5 linked regions of the Callithrix jacchus genome follow. The protein of the gene in region 1 interacts with the protein of each later gene in a biochemical or structural test. Links are inferred from orthologs where the notes say so. Each region holds a gene or a part of one and is shown in the gene's direction. Other genes may lie near its edges. The genes, in order: GRIP1, PPARG, ESR1, CARM1 and THRA.

Evidence for each region.
Region 2: the proteins of GRIP1 (region 1) and PPARG form a complex in vitro, tested with the Homo sapiens proteins (2 studies listed by BioGRID). The link is inferred for Callithrix jacchus from reciprocal best matches to the Homo sapiens genes GRIP1 and PPARG.
Region 3: the proteins of GRIP1 (region 1) and ESR1 form a complex in vitro, tested with the Homo sapiens proteins (2 studies listed by BioGRID and IntAct). The link is inferred for Callithrix jacchus from reciprocal best matches to the Homo sapiens genes GRIP1 and ESR1.
Region 4: the proteins of GRIP1 (region 1) and CARM1 form a complex in vitro, tested with the Homo sapiens proteins (2 studies listed by BioGRID). The link is inferred for Callithrix jacchus from reciprocal best matches to the Homo sapiens genes GRIP1 and CARM1.
Region 5: the proteins of GRIP1 (region 1) and THRA form a complex in vitro, tested with the Homo sapiens proteins (2 studies listed by BioGRID). The link is inferred for Callithrix jacchus from reciprocal best matches to the Homo sapiens genes GRIP1 and THRA.

What each region holds. Positions count from the first base shown.
Region 1 is NC_133510.1:52,843,167-52,846,689, forward strand, and holds part of GRIP1 (glutamate receptor-interacting protein 1), read left to right. Parts: intron 1-810; coding exon 811-922; intron 923-1,035; coding exon 1,036-1,080; intron 1,081-3,523. UniProt on the Homo sapiens protein: May play a role as a localized scaffold for the assembly of a multiprotein signaling complex and as mediator of the trafficking of its binding partners at specific subcellular location in neurons.
Region 2 is NC_133516.1:69,544,505-69,548,027, forward strand, and holds part of PPARG (peroxisome proliferator-activated receptor gamma), read left to right. Parts: intron 1-1,099; coding exon 1,100-1,327; intron 1,328-2,702; coding exon 2,703-2,872; intron 2,873-3,523. UniProt on the Homo sapiens protein: Nuclear receptor that binds peroxisome proliferators such as hypolipidemic drugs and fatty acids.
Region 3 is NC_133505.1:158,537,519-158,541,475, forward strand, and holds the start of ESR1 (estrogen receptor), read left to right. Parts: upstream 1-1,157; 5' UTR 1,158-1,290; intron 1,291-3,957.
Region 4 is NC_133523.1:10,086,026-10,089,513, forward strand, and holds part of CARM1 (histone-arginine methyltransferase CARM1), read left to right. Parts: intron 1-2,938; coding exon 2,939-3,024; intron 3,025-3,220; coding exon 3,221-3,310; intron 3,311-3,488. UniProt on the Homo sapiens protein: Methylates (mono- and asymmetric dimethylation) the guanidino nitrogens of arginyl residues in several proteins involved in DNA packaging, transcription regulation, pre-mRNA splicing, and mRNA stability.
Region 5 is NC_133506.1:71,696,315-71,699,837, forward strand, and holds part of THRA (thyroid hormone receptor alpha), read left to right. Parts: intron 1-242; exon of another isoform or gene 243-803; intron 804-1,564; coding exon 1,565-1,711; intron 1,712-3,152; coding exon 3,153-3,411; intron 3,412-3,523.

The sequences.
Region 1 (3,523 bases):
CACTCTGTCACCCAAGCTACAGTTCATTGGTGTGATCTCAGCTCACTGCCACCTGTGCATACCAGGTTCAAGTGATTCTCCCCCCTTATCATCCCCGCCCCCAGTAGCTGGGATTACAGGTGCCTGCCACCACACCTGGCTAATTTTTGTATTTTTAATAGAGATGGGGTTTTACCATGTTGGCCAGTCTGGTCTCAAACTCCCTTCTTCAAGTTGTCTGCCCACCTAGGCCTCCCAAAGTGCTGGGATTACAGGCATGAGCCACCCCATCTGGCTCCTTTCCTTTCTTTTAAAAGTTAGTTTCACATTAAGTTACATTTTTTTTAAACATATATCATGGATCTATCTTTTCAGCAAAATATATTTTACTATTTTGTTTATTACCAAAACGTTTTAAGGAAATTTATAAAACGTGATATCATTTGGTTTATTTATAAGTGGGGAAAACATGTTTCCCTCTTCGAGATAAATTTGGTTTCTCTTTCCTTGTAGATATAGCAGCTAAAATACATTCCTGACGTTCCATCCCATTTCAATAGGGCCATGTGGCTACAGCCTATTTAGCAGCAGCCACAAATAGTCTGAAATCCAGTAGTAAGACCACGGACCAGCCTTTCCATCTTCACAACAGTACATTTCCTAAAGCGTCCCTCTGCTGAAGCTCATGTACTTGGAGGACACAGATGGAAGAAAGCCAGATCCAAAATGACTGTCTTTCTATATTTTGTGTGAGGTGAAGGAGAGAGATTCTGGATACCATACACATATGTCTAGCAAGTTCCTAAGCTGGTCTGTGTTTCTTCACAACAGTTTTGCAGGGGCTGCTGATAGTGCAGAGACAGAACAAGAGGAGAACTTCTGGTCTCAAGCGCTGGAAGATTTGGAAACCTGCGGACAGTCAGGAATTCTGAGAGAACTGGAGGTAGCCTTGGTCCTGCTACTTACTTTTATTGTTTCTACATTCATTTTTTTCGGTCCTTTTAAGTTTGCATTTCTCACACCAGTTCATTTAAAAGCTTTAACCCCTTTCCACAGGAGAAAGCTGACAGGCGTGTGTCTTTGAGAAACATGACTCTCTTGGTAGCTACCCTTTATGTTTATATTTTTGCTTGTGAAGCTGCCTTCCCTACCCTTTTGCCTTCTGGACAGCAATTTGATTTTATACAATGCAGTCAAAAGTATTTATTTCCCCATCTCCACCCCTTGAGCTTACTGACTTGTGGCTTCTGCCATTGCTCCCTGCTATCCCTGACTGTCTCTGTTTCCCACCAGTTCGCTAAAAAGCGAGCTAAGTCTCCCAGCAGTGGCGCATCCCATTCTCTTAGTTGCTTTAGAAAGGTTTATTTGGCATGTTTTCATTTGTACCTGGTATAGAAATTAATTTGATCGTTAAGAGGAACATAAAAGGAAATTCTATTTTACTTTGTTTTGTCCTTAAAGTAGATGACAATGCAGCTGCTGAAAAAGGCCAGTCTGTTTGATAAGCAGCAAAAATATTACATAGTACTTTGCTGTTAATTGAAAATCCTGATTCCATCCATGTTAACTGAGTGTAAATTCAAGGAAGAATGCGATGGAGTGTAATAGCTGAACTCCTGGTGAGTTCTTTAATCAAAGCCATGAATTTGCTGATGGTATTCACACTTTAGTCTGGGAAGTCCTGGACTATTTCCTTTTATGTTCTTTTAAATTTTCTGAGCTGTAAAAAATAAAGTGGCAAAAGTCTCATTTTTATTTTGATGCCATATGAGGTTCCCAAGTCACCATAAGGAATGTGAATGGCATAATGGGGTGAAACTCTTGCAATTCTAAAATGATTATTCATCTTTATATTATTTTGCTTCTCAATTGCATGTGTGGATATTTTATGTGATTCTAATGTTTGTGAATCTGCAGAGAATTATCAAGAAAAATATTAGTTTGAACTTGTAGACATCATAGTATTACCTGGCATGAATTGCAGCTTCAGAGCATAATTAAAGGTCCTGGACATGGATAATCCTATAAAATCTAAACGAAGTAAGATGTTGCAATGATTCCTTTTTATACAACTTTCAAAAAGAGCAGAATGCATAAGTATCAGCTGGCTTATTTAAACCTGTACCACCTTCTGCATGTAGAATGATGAAGAAAAGTGGCCCAAACTGAATAACGAGCACAATTCACAATTCTTGAACATAGCTCTGCTTTTGGAAGCATGTTTTGGCTCATCCAGCTTTTTCATTGTGCAATTTAATACTTCTCTTCTGAAGAAAAGCTATTCTTCTAATGGCTTATTTTACATTAGGCAAAAAGAAAATGATGTAAAAAGTAATACAGTGGAGTTCTGTTTTCATCCAGAAATTGAGTTATCCATCAGCAAGAATAGAAGTTATGTTGCCACAGCCTGTGAGTTTGCTCCAACATAGCTCCAGACAGGTGTGGCCCTTGACATTATTATGCAGAAAGCAAATAAGTTGAATTTATAAGCCAAAGGGAAATTAAATCCTTAACTAGGATGAATGACTGGCAAAGTCATAGAGTCATATTTACACTTTTATCACAAAGAATATTCGTTTTTGATTTAAGTGAATTCCATTCCCTTGATTGGAAATGCTATTATACAAAAAAAATATTGGAGCTAGATTCTTGCCCGTTAATTTTACATCCAGCATTAAAAGTTAAAGCACATTATAATACTAATAAATGTAGACAGTTAGCTAAGATGAAAGATGATTACAATTGAAATGCAAATGAAAATTAATTTACTAATCATTTTCCCTATTGCTAGTAATAATTTAGATTCAACTTTAACACTGAAAAAATGTATAGCTTTAACAAAGGAGAAAAATTTGAATGAGTCTTGGACAAGTTTTTAACCTCTCTGATCAGATATTTCTTCTATAAAATGTGGGAATTATAATGAGCTAGTAATTATGTGGCACTTAAGTGTTCAATAAGTATTCAATAAAAGTTAACTATTAGTATTTTTACCCTTTCTTGATTAATGAACACTGCTTTAACTATTTTTTGTTTAGCATAATATAGGAAGAAGATTTAAATGTCACATAGAGAACTCTAGGTTGCCTTAGGGATAATATACAGTTATGAATTGTGGCAAGTGAAAACAGGTAACACATACTCTTGAGACCAAAGCAAATCTTAGGTAATTAAAAATAGTTTTTTAGCTTTTTATTTTAGTTTTTATATTTGTGTTTTAGCTTTTATGTTCCTCCTTAGATGCTACCTAAAGTTCATTTAAACAAAGCAATCAAACTTATTGCTGTACATTCACCTACTTACTTGAAGATGTGAACCAAAGAATTAAGGATAGCATCTCATTTCTTCCATGAGAACCTTTTCTAAATCAATTTGTAATTTCTTCAATGGCAGCTAAGACTCATCAAAGCAAAACTGTGGTCTCCCAGATGTAGTGATTAAGTGTTTTACTTCCAATATGTGTCCTGTCATTCTCATGAAAAATGAATATTTAAAAATGGATGTTAACAAAGCAAACAACTAGTCTTAGTAGGTAAAAATAATA
Region 2 (3,523 bases), on another chromosome or scaffold:
AGGACACTGTGCTAAGAGAAGTAAACTGGGTGGTACTTGACACAGAAAGACAAATACCACATGATCTCACTTAGGCATGGAATCTAAAAACGTCAAACTCATGCAAGTAGAGAGTAAAATGGTGGTTGCCAGGGGCTTGAGAGTGATTGCATAGGGAGATGTCAGCCAGAGTTTCAGTTACGCAGCATGAGTTCTGGAGACCTAAGTGTAGGTCACCTTCAGCATGGTGACTATAGTTAGTGATGCCGTATGGTATATCTGAAATTTGCTAAGACAGTAGATCTTAAGTGTTCTCACTACACATATTCATACTTTAAAAGGTATGTGAAGTGATGAGTATGGTCATTAGCTTGATGATGGTAATCATTTCACAGTAAATACATACATTAAAACATCACATTGTATACCTTGTTTTTTTGTTTTGTTTTGTTTTTGAATGGAGTCTTGCTCAGTTGCCTGGGCTGGAGTGCAGTGGTGTGATGTTGGCTCACTGCAACCTCCACCTCCTGGGTTCAAGCCATTCTCCTGCCTCAGCCTCCCAAGTGGCTGAGATTATAGGCACATGCTACCACACCCAGCCAATTTTTCTATTTTTAGTAAAGACAAGGTTTCGCCATGTTGGCCAGCCTGGTTTCAAACTCCTGACCTCAGGTGATACTCCTTCCTTGGCCTCCTAAAGTGCTGGGATTACAGGTGGGCCACCGTGCCTGGCCTGTGTGCCTTAAGTTTAAAAATTTTTGTCTATTATACTTAAATAAAGCTGGAAAAAATTTTAAATAACAGCAGTCATTAACAGACTCAATTGATGACCTTCTGTAGAAGATAATGAGAGCAGAACTGTTAGCAAGACACTTATATGAATATACTATATGTGTCTGCACTGTTTCAGGATTCTCTACTCTGATAGGTAAAGGATGACTTCCTTCCTATCATAAAACAGCCTGAGCAGCACTGAGAAGATGGTTATGTTCTTTTCTCGTTTTAAGAGCCTAGAAGAGATTACTTCGCCAAAGACTCTTTCATTTCCCTTTCTGGAACTCTGTGACATTGCTCTGTTCTCCAGGACTTAACTTCATGGCTGGTCTATTTTTCCTTTCAGAAATTACCATGGTTGACACAGAGATGCCATTCTGGCCCACCAACTTTGGGATCAGCTCCGTGGATCTCTCCGTAATGGACGACCACTCCCACTCCTTTGACATCAAGCCCTTCACTACTGTTGACTTCTCCAGCATTTCTACTCCACACTATGAAGACATTCCATTCACAAGAACAGATCCGATGGTTGCAGATTATAAGTATGACCTGAAACTTCAAGAGTACCAAAGTATGTTTATTTTCATTTTTCAGACTCCTAAGACTGGAATTGGACTAATCTCTCAGTAACCCTGTAATACTCCAGAGACTAGAACACTAATAGAGAAGGCATTCATCATTGATTTATTCACCCATTTATCCATCAAACATTAGGTATCTATGAAATGCCAGAAAGGAAGCTGGCGCCAGACCAATCTTGCCTTTCCCCCACTCTATCCTTCCTCTCTTCTTTCCTGTCTTGCTTACTTCCTTCTTAGGGACATTTTCTACCTTGATTACACTGCCATTTGTATCTCTGGCTAAGAGTCCATCATCCACGCTTTGAATTCTTTTGGCCTTTGTAAGTTAATAAGTAACAGTTCCAGGTCACCTGATATTTATTATATAACTTATCTTCACTAAATTACTGCTACTACAGTACATTTTTTTCTAATTTGTCCTTTCAGAATTTTATACTGAAACCTACTTTTGAGCACAAATTTGTCTTAACATTGTAGTCTATTGATAAATTTTCATGCCATTAACTAAATTAACATCAAAACATCAGATGCAAGAAAAACAAGAGCTGCACTTTTTGAGATAAAATGTATTTCTGTGATGCTGTTTCTTTGATTTTTATCATGTGTGGGCTGACATGCTGGTTTTCCAGAGCCACCACTATGTAACTGGCAACCATTACTTGACAATAAGTAAGAACTTCCTGTATTTCTGGTGGTTTTTAAGATAAATAATATGCTTAGTTATATTTATCTGTGTGGTTTTTAGTTAGAGCCTAATATGGAAATTTAATAGCCATGGGCCTAACTAGTAAAAGGTAGGCCGGACTTCCATTAAGTTCCCCCACCCTCTGTCAAAGATTATTTCACAAACCACGTCTTTTGACTGAACACTGATGGTAACCTGGGCTCTTATTTTTCTTGCACCTTGAAGCTAGGCATTCACAGCAGTGTTCCTTTTGTGGTTCTTTTGCAAGCACTGTTCCAAAGTACTTCTAAAATTTAATATTTAAATAAAATGTATAATTTAATATTGTGATGAATACCGAAGACAGAACATTTGCTAGCAAAATAAGCTTCCTTGTCTCAAAGCCTCTCTGTTGTCTGTTAAAGCTGTAGTATTGCAGGGTACTGGGGGTCATAGAACCACAGACTTAATTCCCGTTCCCATTTTAAATTTACAGGTGAGGCTTAGCGATGTTGTAACTTGACTGTGATTACACAGCCTTCTTTTTCTTGCCTTAACTCTAGTGTTTTTTTCATGTCCCATTGTGCTTTTATACTGAAACAATACAAATACAGCATGAAGGTGTACTATGGTGGCTTGCCCTTTTGCCTTTTTAGGACTGTTTTCATGGGATAATTATCCTCTCACGTTTCTATACACAGGTGCAATCAAAGTGGAGCCCGCATCTCCACCTTATTATTCTGAGAAGACTCAGCTCTACAGTAAGCCTCATGAAGAGGCTTCCAACTCCCTCATGGCAATCGAATGTCGTGTCTGTGGAGATAAAGCTTCTGGGTTCCACTACGGAGTTCATGCTTGTGAAGGATGCAAGGTAATTAAAAAAAAAAAAAAAATCTTTCTTCAAAGAAATCGTTGAAACCTTATTATTTCATTTGAGCAGAACCCTTTCTTTAGGTGATAAAAAATATGAATTTTTTCTTCTTAGAAAAGTGTCTTGTTCTGTCACCCAGACTGGAGTACAGTGGTACAATCAGAGCACACTGCAGCATTGAGCTCCAGGGCTAAAGTGATCCTCCCACCTCAGCCTCCCAAAGGATGATGTAATATTTGAGAGCCTAAGAAAGTGGATAAAAGCAGGGCTGCTTTACCCCACATTCCTTTCTCCAAATTGATTCTTTGAGACACTGATTTAATTTAACCCTTGCATCTTGCAGATTTTTACAAAGAGTGACTTCTCCAAGGTGTCGTGGGAAGACAGTGATGATTTGGCACCAGGATGCAGATTTCCTGCATTCCCTAGTTGTTTGTTTATTTTTTTGCTGTGCCATGTAATATTGTGTATACACAAGATTTTACAGATTATTTGTATATACATATCTTTGGATCCCTAGAGCAATCCTATAAGGTTGGGCTTCTTTATGGCCACATTACAGATGTAGAAATTATGAGTTTGTAAGACTTGCCAAGGCCATCCCTTAGTCAACGGCAGCCCTCAGTCTAGACTCTGACTCCTTAGGTGGTA
Region 3 (3,957 bases), on another chromosome or scaffold:
TAAGTGAATCTTGTTGAGATTTTATGTTCAGTCACTTGAAATTAAATACTTTACATACTAACTAAAATGTGTCCTGCTCTCTGTATTCTGGAGAAGCTTCTCTCAGGCAAATTAACATATTCAAATTATTTTATGGGCTAACTGACAAGTATAGAGAAGATTGAAGACAGTTAAGATCATTTATTTCAAAATGTTTTAAAGCATTGATTATTTCTTTTGGTTTTCCTTCCTTCCCATGACAGTTTTGAGGTGTAGCTTACTTGGCAGACGTCACTCTGTACTGGGTACTGGGACAGAGAGCAATACAATAGCAAGAGAGAGATTCCTCCTCTGCCCCCTCTATCATTCTCACTTCCAGAAAACCAGCCTTTTTCAAGACTTGTAAAGAAGAAAAAGCGAAAATATTTTTAAAAAATCATTGAAAGTACATACTGCATAAACCACAGCAGACATGATGAGATATTAAAATTTCAATGTTATTAAAAAATTTTAATATGATTTTACAGCCCTTTTTCTACTTTAAAATGTGTATCTTAGTGTTAAACAAACAATCAATAACCACATAAATTTAAAAATTGCTGCAGGAAATACCGGACAGTTTATGGAAGGATCATGCGACAGAAATTAAGGACCAAAGAGCGTAAGGAGCTAGACCTGTGCAGGTTACCGAAGTCAAGAACCTAATTAATCAGTAACAGGAAGTGCAGAGCCGGCTTTTGAGTCCATGCCTGAGTAAGAAATTCCCAAATAACACTAACAGAAGACATTTCCTTACCCCTGCTTTTAGTTTAGCTCTAGCTAACTTTGGATTAACAAAATTTATGTGCTGAATGAATGTTTTATTTTTTTTTCCAGCCCCACACGCCTGTCTAGACTTTGAGCTTTATTAGGAATAAAGAGAAAAATCGGCTGGAGGGCGTAAAAAAATTTCAGGCAGATTAACACATGATTTACCTCTTTTTGAACATCCATTTTAGTGGAAGTGCTAAGAAAGTTAGATTCAAGCCGGGCTTGGAGAAAGCAAGGCCACCCCCTCCTCTATGTTTTCAATGAGATTTTCCAATCCTAGTCAAATGGTGGTGCTAGTTCTTTATTTTTGAGTTACTGCATTTCCTAATTTCATGGTCATAACAGCCTCCTGTCTACCGAGTCAGAACGGATTTTACCAAAACTGAAAATGCAGGCTCCATGCTCAGAAGCTCTTTAACAGGCTCGAAAGGTCCATGCTCCTTTCTCCTGCCCATTCTATAGCATAAGAAGACAGTCTCTGAGTGATAATCTTCTCTTCAAGTAGGTACTCCTATTTCTTCTCAATTTATTTTTTCCTTTTTGATATAATGTGCTACTGTTTACAAGCATATTGTAACTTCAGAGCTTACGTCTCATCTTTAAAAAATGTTCATTTTTTTCCTCTTTCTGCTCCAAGGATATTTTGCAAACTTACTGGCAAGTATTCCTAGGATGATAAAATGTGAAATCTAAACTTGGTACAGTGGAAATTCACTTCTAGAATAATATTTAGCTGAGGCAGAGGGCAATCCGACTACCCTGTTCTTAGTACAGCACACACAGGCTGCCTGTCTGCTCCAGATAACATATATCTATCGGATCCAGCACTAGCTAGGAGACACCGTGTTGTTGAGCTGTGTTAGAATTTTAAAAGTTCTTAATTAGAGAAATCTCAGACTAGCAGGAACACATTACCTGTTTTCTTAATCTTTGGAGCCATAACTTATATGAGTTTGAACTAAAAGATGTGAATGATCCATTATTTGTTTCCTAAAGGCAGTCAAGTTTTCTGAAAAGCTACACGTCCAGCAGCACAAGAATGAACGATTCTGTCTTGAAATTGGCCTCTGATTTTAAGCAAGTTCTTTTGAGTCCTGGTGTCCCATTTTCTCGGTTCCTTTTTGCCTCTCAAAGGCACACGCATAATGACTTCACCACATATAGCAGTGGGCTACTCGGGTAATGATGTGGCAGTCACAAGACAGGGCAGAATACTTTCATTTTGGTCAGAGGCATGCCACATGTCTTAGGAAATGCTCGTTGAACTGTAAGTTTCATGCTTTGTCAAGAAGATAACCAGTATTCTCTCAAGTCCATAGGAGCCGACGTGATTAAAACATTTTAAAGCAATTTACTTGATAGAAGGGTTGGGCTTTATCAGGACTTGTGATCATGGCAATGGTTCCTGCTTAAAGGTGCCAGATTTTTAACGCCTTTATGTGTCAGATCTAATAGGCTTACAGAGCAACTCTATGTATATGAGGCTGCTGGGAAACTCATCCAGTTTTGAATGTGGTATATACATATTTTAATGTTGAGAGTAAACTTAGGAAGACCAGGCAGAAGTGTTTGAACTGAATTCTGAAATGTACAGAGAATTTAAATTGGGTGAGAATGTTTGAGGTCCACGGTTCAGGGTTCATTTCGATACCATAAAATCCCCTCCTAGTTCTTAAAAGCAAATGTTTTCTTTGATTTTGTTAATGTCCTGTGAAGACCGCCGACTGGGCTGTGAAATGCATGCAGATAATGCCGTAGCGGTTGGATAAAATAATCTAGAATGTTAGATTTTCAAGGAAATTAGAAATAAAAACAATGTAGGTAAAAGGCATGATGTAGGAAAACAGCAGAATTTTCATTAAGAACACAAGGGTCGTATTTACAAGCAGAAGATTTTTCTTGGACACTTGGAGATATTTGTTTTGTTTTATTGCTCATGACAGTCAAGGAAAGGAATACAATGTTTGGGTCTTAAACTTGCAGCAAGAAAAGTCAAACTATCTTTTGTTTCTGAGAACTCTTGTCTTTGTTCAGTATTGGGTTTAGAGCTAGCTACCACCCACCTTCCCTTCAAACACTCACTCTAAACCTCCACACAGCATAACGATGTACATCAGGTGTCTGCCAAACAAGTTCACATGGTTGTCTGCAGGTCTTCTCTTAGTCTAGCTGCACTCATTTATCCTAGTTGGTCAGAACAGTTGCTTGAGTTGAGGGCCTGGTGGTTGAGTTTACTTTGCTTTGAATAGGGAACAGCTCTGCTTCATGACTCCAGATTGGCTATTTGGAAAAAAGGGCAAGGAAAAGAGTGACCCAGCTCTCAGTAGACCATCCACACTGCTGGTAAAAAATAAAATAAACAAAATAAAATAAACAAAATAAACTCATAGCATAGGATTCATCTATGGCAGTGGCGACATGGTCCTGTCCATCTGCCTCTATCAGGATAGAGTCTCCATTGTTGATCTCTGAGAAAGAGGTGCTATCTGTGAAGCCTCCTGCATATTATCAAATAAAGTGCTCTTTTCAAAGGCAGGCACTGTACAGGTAAGACTGATGATGTGTGCCTGCCTTCTGGGCAACATCTCATTAGACTTCCTCTGAATCATTCCCACTGGACACAACAGCAAAAACATGCACATCAGTGAGTTTTATGGTTCTATCTAAGGCATATAACATTTTTCTCACTGAAAGTCTGTGATTGTTTCAGAGAATGAAGGGGCTTACCCTACTCACCTGCCCCTTAAAATATTCTGCTAGAAAGCTGATACCTCTGCTCAGGTTTTCCACAGCACATCACTCTTCGGTGAGAATTCTATTAAGTGGTTCAATTCAAATCCATGGAAAAATGACTGAGTACCCAGTCATAGCTCCCACCACTCTCTAGCTGTGCAATTAGAGGCAGATTATGTCACCTCCATCATTAAATTTCTCATCTGCAAAGTTGGAGTACTAACAGTAGCTACCAGAGAGAATTATATGGAGTAAATGAGATTAAACCACTCATTAAACTCCTTGCAGTCTCTAAACATTAGAAACTCAATATGAGGAAGTTATTTCTACTCTAAGCCTATCACAGTGCCTGTTATTCAATACATGTTGGTTGAATAAATGAAATAATTCAAGATCAGCACCAAAGCTGCTAGGAGTTTATGAACATCTGATCAT
Region 4 (3,488 bases), on another chromosome or scaffold:
AAAAAATCCTGTGATACTCGTTGAAAAAAATCAAAGGCGTATAGAAGAGAAAAGCTTCCCTACTTCTGTCCCAGCTGCACAGTTCAGTTTTCTTTTTTTTTTTTTTGAGACAGAGACTCACTCCATCGCCAGGTGCCAGGTGCCAGGCGCCAGGCGCCAGGCACCAGGCTGGAGTGCAGTGGCACGATCTCAGCTCACAGCAACCTCTGCCTCCTGGGTTCATGCAATTCTCCTGCCTCAGCCTCCCAAGTAGCTGGGACTACAGGCGCGCACCACCATGCCCAGCTAATTTCTGTATTTTTAGTAGAGACGGGGTTTCACCTTGTTGGCCAGTATAGTCTCGATCTCTTGACCTCGTGATCCACCTGCCTCGGCCTCCCAAAGTGCTGGGATTCTAGGTGTAAGCCACTGCGCCCAGACAGTTCTGTATGAGATTTTTCTTTTCTTTTCTTTTATACTATTATTTTGTACATGCTAGTTCTAAGTCGCTGGTGACTTTCACTATCTGGAGGAGTGGAAGGTATGTTTTCATCTGTTTAGTCTCTTGGTTTTGGGCTCTGGTCCTTTGTTCTTGTCTCTTGCTGTGCCTGATCATTGGATGCCAGAATGAAAAACCATGCAGGCACTGAATGATGCTTTTCCTTCCAAGGATTTTTCTTCAGGCACCTCACAAATGGAGAGGTCACCTTGGTCCTGTCGGGCACCTGAGATACTTTGACCTGCTTTTCAGACTCCAGTGGCTGATCTCTTTCCTGGATTCCCCATATGGCAACTGTTCTCAAATATTTTGGTCTCAGGACCCCTTTACACACTCAAATATTGAGGATCCTATTGAGCTTTTGGTTTTTTCCTTTTTTTTTTTTTTTTTTTGAGATGGAGTCTCGCTCTGTTGCCCAGCGTGGAGTACAGTGATGTGATCTCAGCTCACTGCAACCTCCGCCTCCTGGGTTAAAGTGATTCTCCCACCTCAGCCTCCCAAGTAGCTGGGATTACAGGTGTCCACCACCACACCCAGCTAATTATTGTGTTTTTAATAGAGACGAGGTTTCACCATGTTGGCCACACTGGTCTTGAATTCCTAACCTCAGGTGATCCATCTGCCTCGGGGAGTGAATGAATGAAAAAAGCTGGAAATATTTTGGTGTTATTATGAAAATGTTGTATTATTAAGAGGGTGCCCTGGAAGGGACCACAATTTGAGAAACTGCCACTTTAGGGTATGAACTTTGGTAATTTTTTTTTTTTTTTGAGACGGAGTCTTAGATTGGAGTGCAATGGAACAATCTTGGCTACTGCAACCTCTGCCTCCCCGGTTCAAGTGATTCTTCCACCTCAGCCTCCTGACTAGCTGGGACTACATGCACCCGCTACCGTGCCTGGCAAATTTTTGTATTTTTAGTAGAGATGGGATTTCACAGTTTTGGCCAGGCTGGTCTCAAACTCCTGTCCTTGTGATCCACCTGCCTCAGCCTCCCAAAGTGCTGGGATTACAGGCGTGAGCCACGGCGCCTGGCCTACTGCCTTCAGTAATCTTAATGCAAGTCCAGTGGTTAGCCTCATTACCAATATGCTTCTGAACCTCCCCTTACCTTTTTTTTGTATTTTTTTTTGAACCAGGTTCTCACTCTGTTGCCCAGGCTGGAGTGTAATGGCTGATTCACGCCATGGCTTACTGTAGCCTTGACCTCCTAGACACAAGTGATCCTCCTGCCTCAGCCTCCCAAGTAGCTGGAACTACAGGAGTGCACCACCATGCCCAGCTAATTTTATTTTTTGTAGACATGAGCTCTCACTATGTTACCCAGGCTAGTCTTGAATTCCTGACCTCAGGTGATCCGACCCCTCCGCCTTTCAAAGTGCTGGGATTACAGGCGTAAGCTGCCACGCCTGGCCTTGAGCCTCTTACAAGCAGCCTTCCGCTTGGTGTCTTATCCTCTGATGCCCCGCCCCGCTCAAAGCTCAGGAGTTGGCCAATTTCACAGGCGCATTGAGTGCGTACTGCCCACCTCGCCCTCCTGCACTTACTTCCCTTTGCTTTGACATTGCAGCCCCTTGAGTCTGAGCTGCCATGATAACCATGAGCTCCCATTTTGCTTTCCCCACCCAGGGAAGCTGCTGAAACATTGAGGTGGCCATTTTCTGCCCTCCCCCTGGGAAAAAGGCAGAAGCCAGAAAGGGCATTTCCTTCCTTTCCGGAAGCTTGATCCCCAAAGTCTTGGCTGCTCTGGTTGGTCCTTGGTGCTTCCAACAACTGGTTCAGTCTTTTCTTTGTATTTTACTTGGTTCACATAGTTCACAGCAGGTGCATTCGTCGGATATAAACATCACTGGGAGTGGACATCAGCACCAGCGTTGTTGTTTTAGAGACAGGGTCTCCCTACGTTTCCCAGGTTTGATTCACACTCAGGCTTAAGCGATCATCCCGCCTCAGCCTCCTGAGGAGCTGGAGTTATAAGCACGCACCACCACACCTGGTAGCAACTAGTTCTTTAACTTGCTTTTTTTGTTAACTTGCTTAATGATTTAGCGTGGGGATCTTCCCCCACCTGTTCATAAAGAGCCTCTTCATTCTTTCTCACATCCACATGGTCTTCGATGGGTGGGCCATCATTGGTTTAATTAGATGGTTTCCAGTGTGCCACTGCCACGGACAGTCTGTAATTATCCATAGAAGTTTGTTGATGTGTTCATGTATCTGGAAGTTAAACTCCTGTAGTGCCAAATCTTGTATGTGAATAAACACTTGTTATTTTGAAAGCTGCCACCTAATTGCCCTCGGTGGCGTTGTGCCGGTTTGCCCTCCTCGCAGGGTGTCTGAGGACAAGCTAGTTTTAGCTGCACAGCCTAGAGGCGGTGGCCAGACCTGGGGTAAGGGGCAGGGCTCTCTTCTTCCACGCTGGCCCTGGCACCAGATGGTCACATCGGTGTTTTCTCCCAGGACACATTTGACATCCGGATCCTGATGGCCAAGTCCGTCAAGTACACAGTGAACTTCTTAGAAGCCAAAGAAGGAGATTTGCACAGGTACCAGCACCCACACTCCATCCTCCCAGGTCTGGCTCAGGCCAAAGGTCAGGGCTACCCCTGGCTCCCGCCGGCATCCTGCCGTCCCAGGGCAGGTGGTGGGCGGGGGCCCCGGGCCTCTGCACCTGGCACCCCCTCTTCTCTCTCGGCAGCGCCTGCCTGGCTTCCCCAGCAGCCACTGCCCTTTGCCTTCCAGGATAGAAATCCCATTCAAATTCCACATGCTGCATTCAGGGCTGGTCCATGGCCTGGCTTTCTGGTTTGACGTTGCTTTCATCGGCTCCATGTGAGTGCCACAGAGCAGAGCAGCCCGTGCTGCCCCCCTCCCCTGCCCCACCCAGGGCTTCCTGCAGCTACGACCTGGCTGGGAGCTAGGAGGGTGGAACGTGGCTCCAGGTCCCACCATCCCTTCCAGTGGGAGTGAGAGCCTATCTCAGATCAAGACACTGGGTTCGGGGTGTGTG
Region 5 (3,523 bases), on another chromosome or scaffold:
GCTCACTGTAACCTCCGCCTCCCGGGTTCAAGCAATTCTCCCACCTGTCTCTCAAGTAGCTGAGATCACAGGTGTCCGTCACCATGCCTGGCTAATTTTTATATTTTTAGTAGAGACAGGGGTTTCACCATGTTGGCCAAGGTGGTCTTGAACTCCTTACCTCAAGTGATCCACCCACCTCAGCCTCCCAAAGTGCTGGGATTACAGGTGTGAGCCACCATGCTTGGCCTCTATGAATAATTTTTTTTTTATATACAGTCCAGAAGTCTTTTATTTTTTTTTAACACCTATTATGCCATGAATTCATAGGGAATAGGTTCCAGCAGCTCAGGCTCCTTCCCATTGGTTCTCACAAAGTGTGCTTCTCTGGGTGGAGCAGGCTGTCGCTTCAGTTGGACCCAGGTACCTTTCTCTTTGGCTTCCTTCTTTTTCTGATCATTTTCCTTCACATGTTTTAGGAAGCTATCTCGGCTCTTAGAGTGCTTGATGTGCTCAATACGCACATTAATTCTCTTGGCAAGAATCTTGCCCTTAACTTGTTTGTTTACAACAATGCCAACAGCATGCTGGGTAACATCGTAGACTCTTCCAGTTTTGCCATGATAACATTTGTGGGGCATTCCTTTTTGAACAGTACCCATTCCCTTGATGTCTACAATATCACCTTTCTTATAGATTCGCATATATGTGGCCAAAGGAACAACTCCATGTTTTCGAAAAGGCCTAGAGAACATGTATCGAGTGCCTCTCCTCTTTCCCTTTGTGTTCGTCATTTTGGCGAATTACTGGAAGATGGCGGTTCCGGCCAAAAGGCGAATAATTTTTAAATTAGCTGGGTGTGGTGGTACATGCCTGTAGTCCCAGCTACTCAGGAGGCTGAGGCAGGAGGATCCACTAAGCACGGGAGGTCAAGGCTGCAGTAAGCCATCATCATACCACTACACTCCAGCCCAGAAAACCGAGCAATACCCTGTCTCAAAAAGAAATGGTCAGTTTGGCAGGAGATGGACAGTTGGCTCTGTATGGTGAAGGAAGGCAGAAACCTGGGTCCTGGCTCCTGGTTCCTGGTGGAGCATGTCAGGGGTGGCACAGTGAACTGTTAAGGGTGCACTGATTCCAAGCAACGTGGCAGTCAGGAGTCAGACTGCCTGAGTTCAAACCCTGGTCCTACCACCTGCTAGTCATAGGACTTTCGCCTTATTACTTAGCTGCCCCATGCACAGTTTCCACATCTGTGAAATGGTGATTATCATAATTATTCCTTTTAGGATTGCGGTCAGGATGAAATGAGATAAGGCATATAAAGCATGCAGCCTGATGCCTGATCACATATTAAGTATTCAGCCATTGTAGCTGCTACTACTGTTATTGCCATTGGTATTATCAGCTGACTTGGAGCTCTGGCTCTGCTCTAGGTGAAGGAAAAAGCTTTGGGGCTGGGACTCAGGCACTGATGGCCCCTCTTCCCCAAGCTGCCTTGGAGCTCCCCCTGGTGGGCAGGGGGGCCTCAGTTAGCGGCTGAAAGGGGGCTGCGGCCCCAGCTGACCCCTGTCTTTCTCTCTAGCCTGAGGACATTGGCCAGTCACCCATTGTCTCCATGCCGGATGGAGACAAGGTGGACCTGGAAGCCTTCAGCGAGTTTACCAAGATCATCACCCCAGCCATCACCCGTGTGGTGGACTTTGCCAAAAAACTGCCCATGTTCTCCGAGGTGAGTGGCAGCAGGGAGGAGAGACATCGTGTGCTGGAGGGAAACCTGCTCCCCTGGTCACCCAGTACAAGCTCATCTGAGGTTCTCTGGACAAGGAGCAATTCCTGTACATCAACACATACCCAGCACACAGGCACACGTACAGATACATACACACACACACACACACACACACAGATACACACACACGCAGCACACAGACACAACATAGACACACACACACCTAGCACACAAATGCATACACAGACATACACACACACACACACCTAGCACAGACACATGCACAAACACATACACACATAGACACATACCCAGCACACAGGCACACACACAGACACACCCAGCATACACACACACAGATACATACACCCAGCACACAGACACATACACACACCCCTAGCACAGACACAGACACACACAGACACAAACACACAGCACACAGGCACACACACAGATGCATACACAGATACACACCTAGCACACAGACACACACCTAGCACACTGACACACAGACACACACTCAGCGCAGACACACAGATACATACACAGCCACACACACACACATTCACACACAGCACACAGGCACACACGTGGAGACACACACCTAGCACACAGACACATACACAAATACATAGACACACACCCTCCCAGCACTCCCATACACACAACACACACAGAGACACACACCAAGGTCTAGCTGCTCTAAGAAACCAGCTGGCTGCAAGTGCCCCTCTCTGCAGCCCCTCATCCCTCAAATCTATGCGGCCACCCAGCTCCAGGCAATCTGAAAGTTCTCATTTTCCAGAGCACTAGTGCTGGAAACGGGCTGCCCTACCAGCCCTGTGACCTGGGACAAGTTACCTCCATCCCCTGCGCCTCAGTGTTCCCATCTAGTGTGGGCTGGGCGTGATGATGGGTGCTAACTCACAGGCATAATTTATTTATTTTTTCTTTTTTGAAATGGAATCTGGTTCTGTTGCCCAGGCTGGAATGCAGTGACGCTATCTTGGCTCACTGCAACCTCCACCTCCTGGGTTCAGGTGATTCTCCTGCCTTAGCCTCCTGAGTAGCTGTGACTACAGGTGTATGCTACCACACCTGACTAATTTTGTATTTTTAGTAGAGATAGGGTTTTACCATGTATGCTGGCCAGGCTAGTCTCAAACTCCTGACCTCAAGTTATTTGCCTGCCTTGGCCTTCCAAAGTGCTGGGATTACAAATGCGAGCCACTGCACCCGGCCTCACACATATAATTGTGAGGCTTAAATGAAATAGTGCATGCACGTGGCCTAACACAGGGTCAGCTGTTCAGAGTCCATGCTATTGGCTGAGGTCGATATGGGCCTCACCAGCCTCACGGCCCCTGGAGGACACTCCATGGAGACTCAGGGACGCGGGGAGGGGTGTGCTGAGTGCTCCTGTGGCCCTGCTGCTCCACAGCTGCCTTGCGAAGACCAGATCATCCTCCTGAAGGGGTGCTGCATGGAGATCATGTCCCTGCGGGCAGCTGTCCGCTATGACCCTGAGAGCGACACACTGACGCTGAGTGGGGAGATGGCCGTCAAGCGGGAGCAGCTCAAGAATGGTGGCCTGGGCGTAGTCTCCGACGCCATCTTTGAACTGGGCAAGTCACTCTCTGCCTTTAACCTGGATGACACGGAAGTGGCTCTGCTGCAGGCTGTGCTGCTAATGTCAACAGGTACCTGCTGATTGGCCGGGAGGGCTCAGAAGCTTCCAGGGGTCCCAGAGATTGGCTGGAGCCCCACCTGGTACTCAACTCCCTCCTGAATCTTCTTCCAGGCTAAATCTCT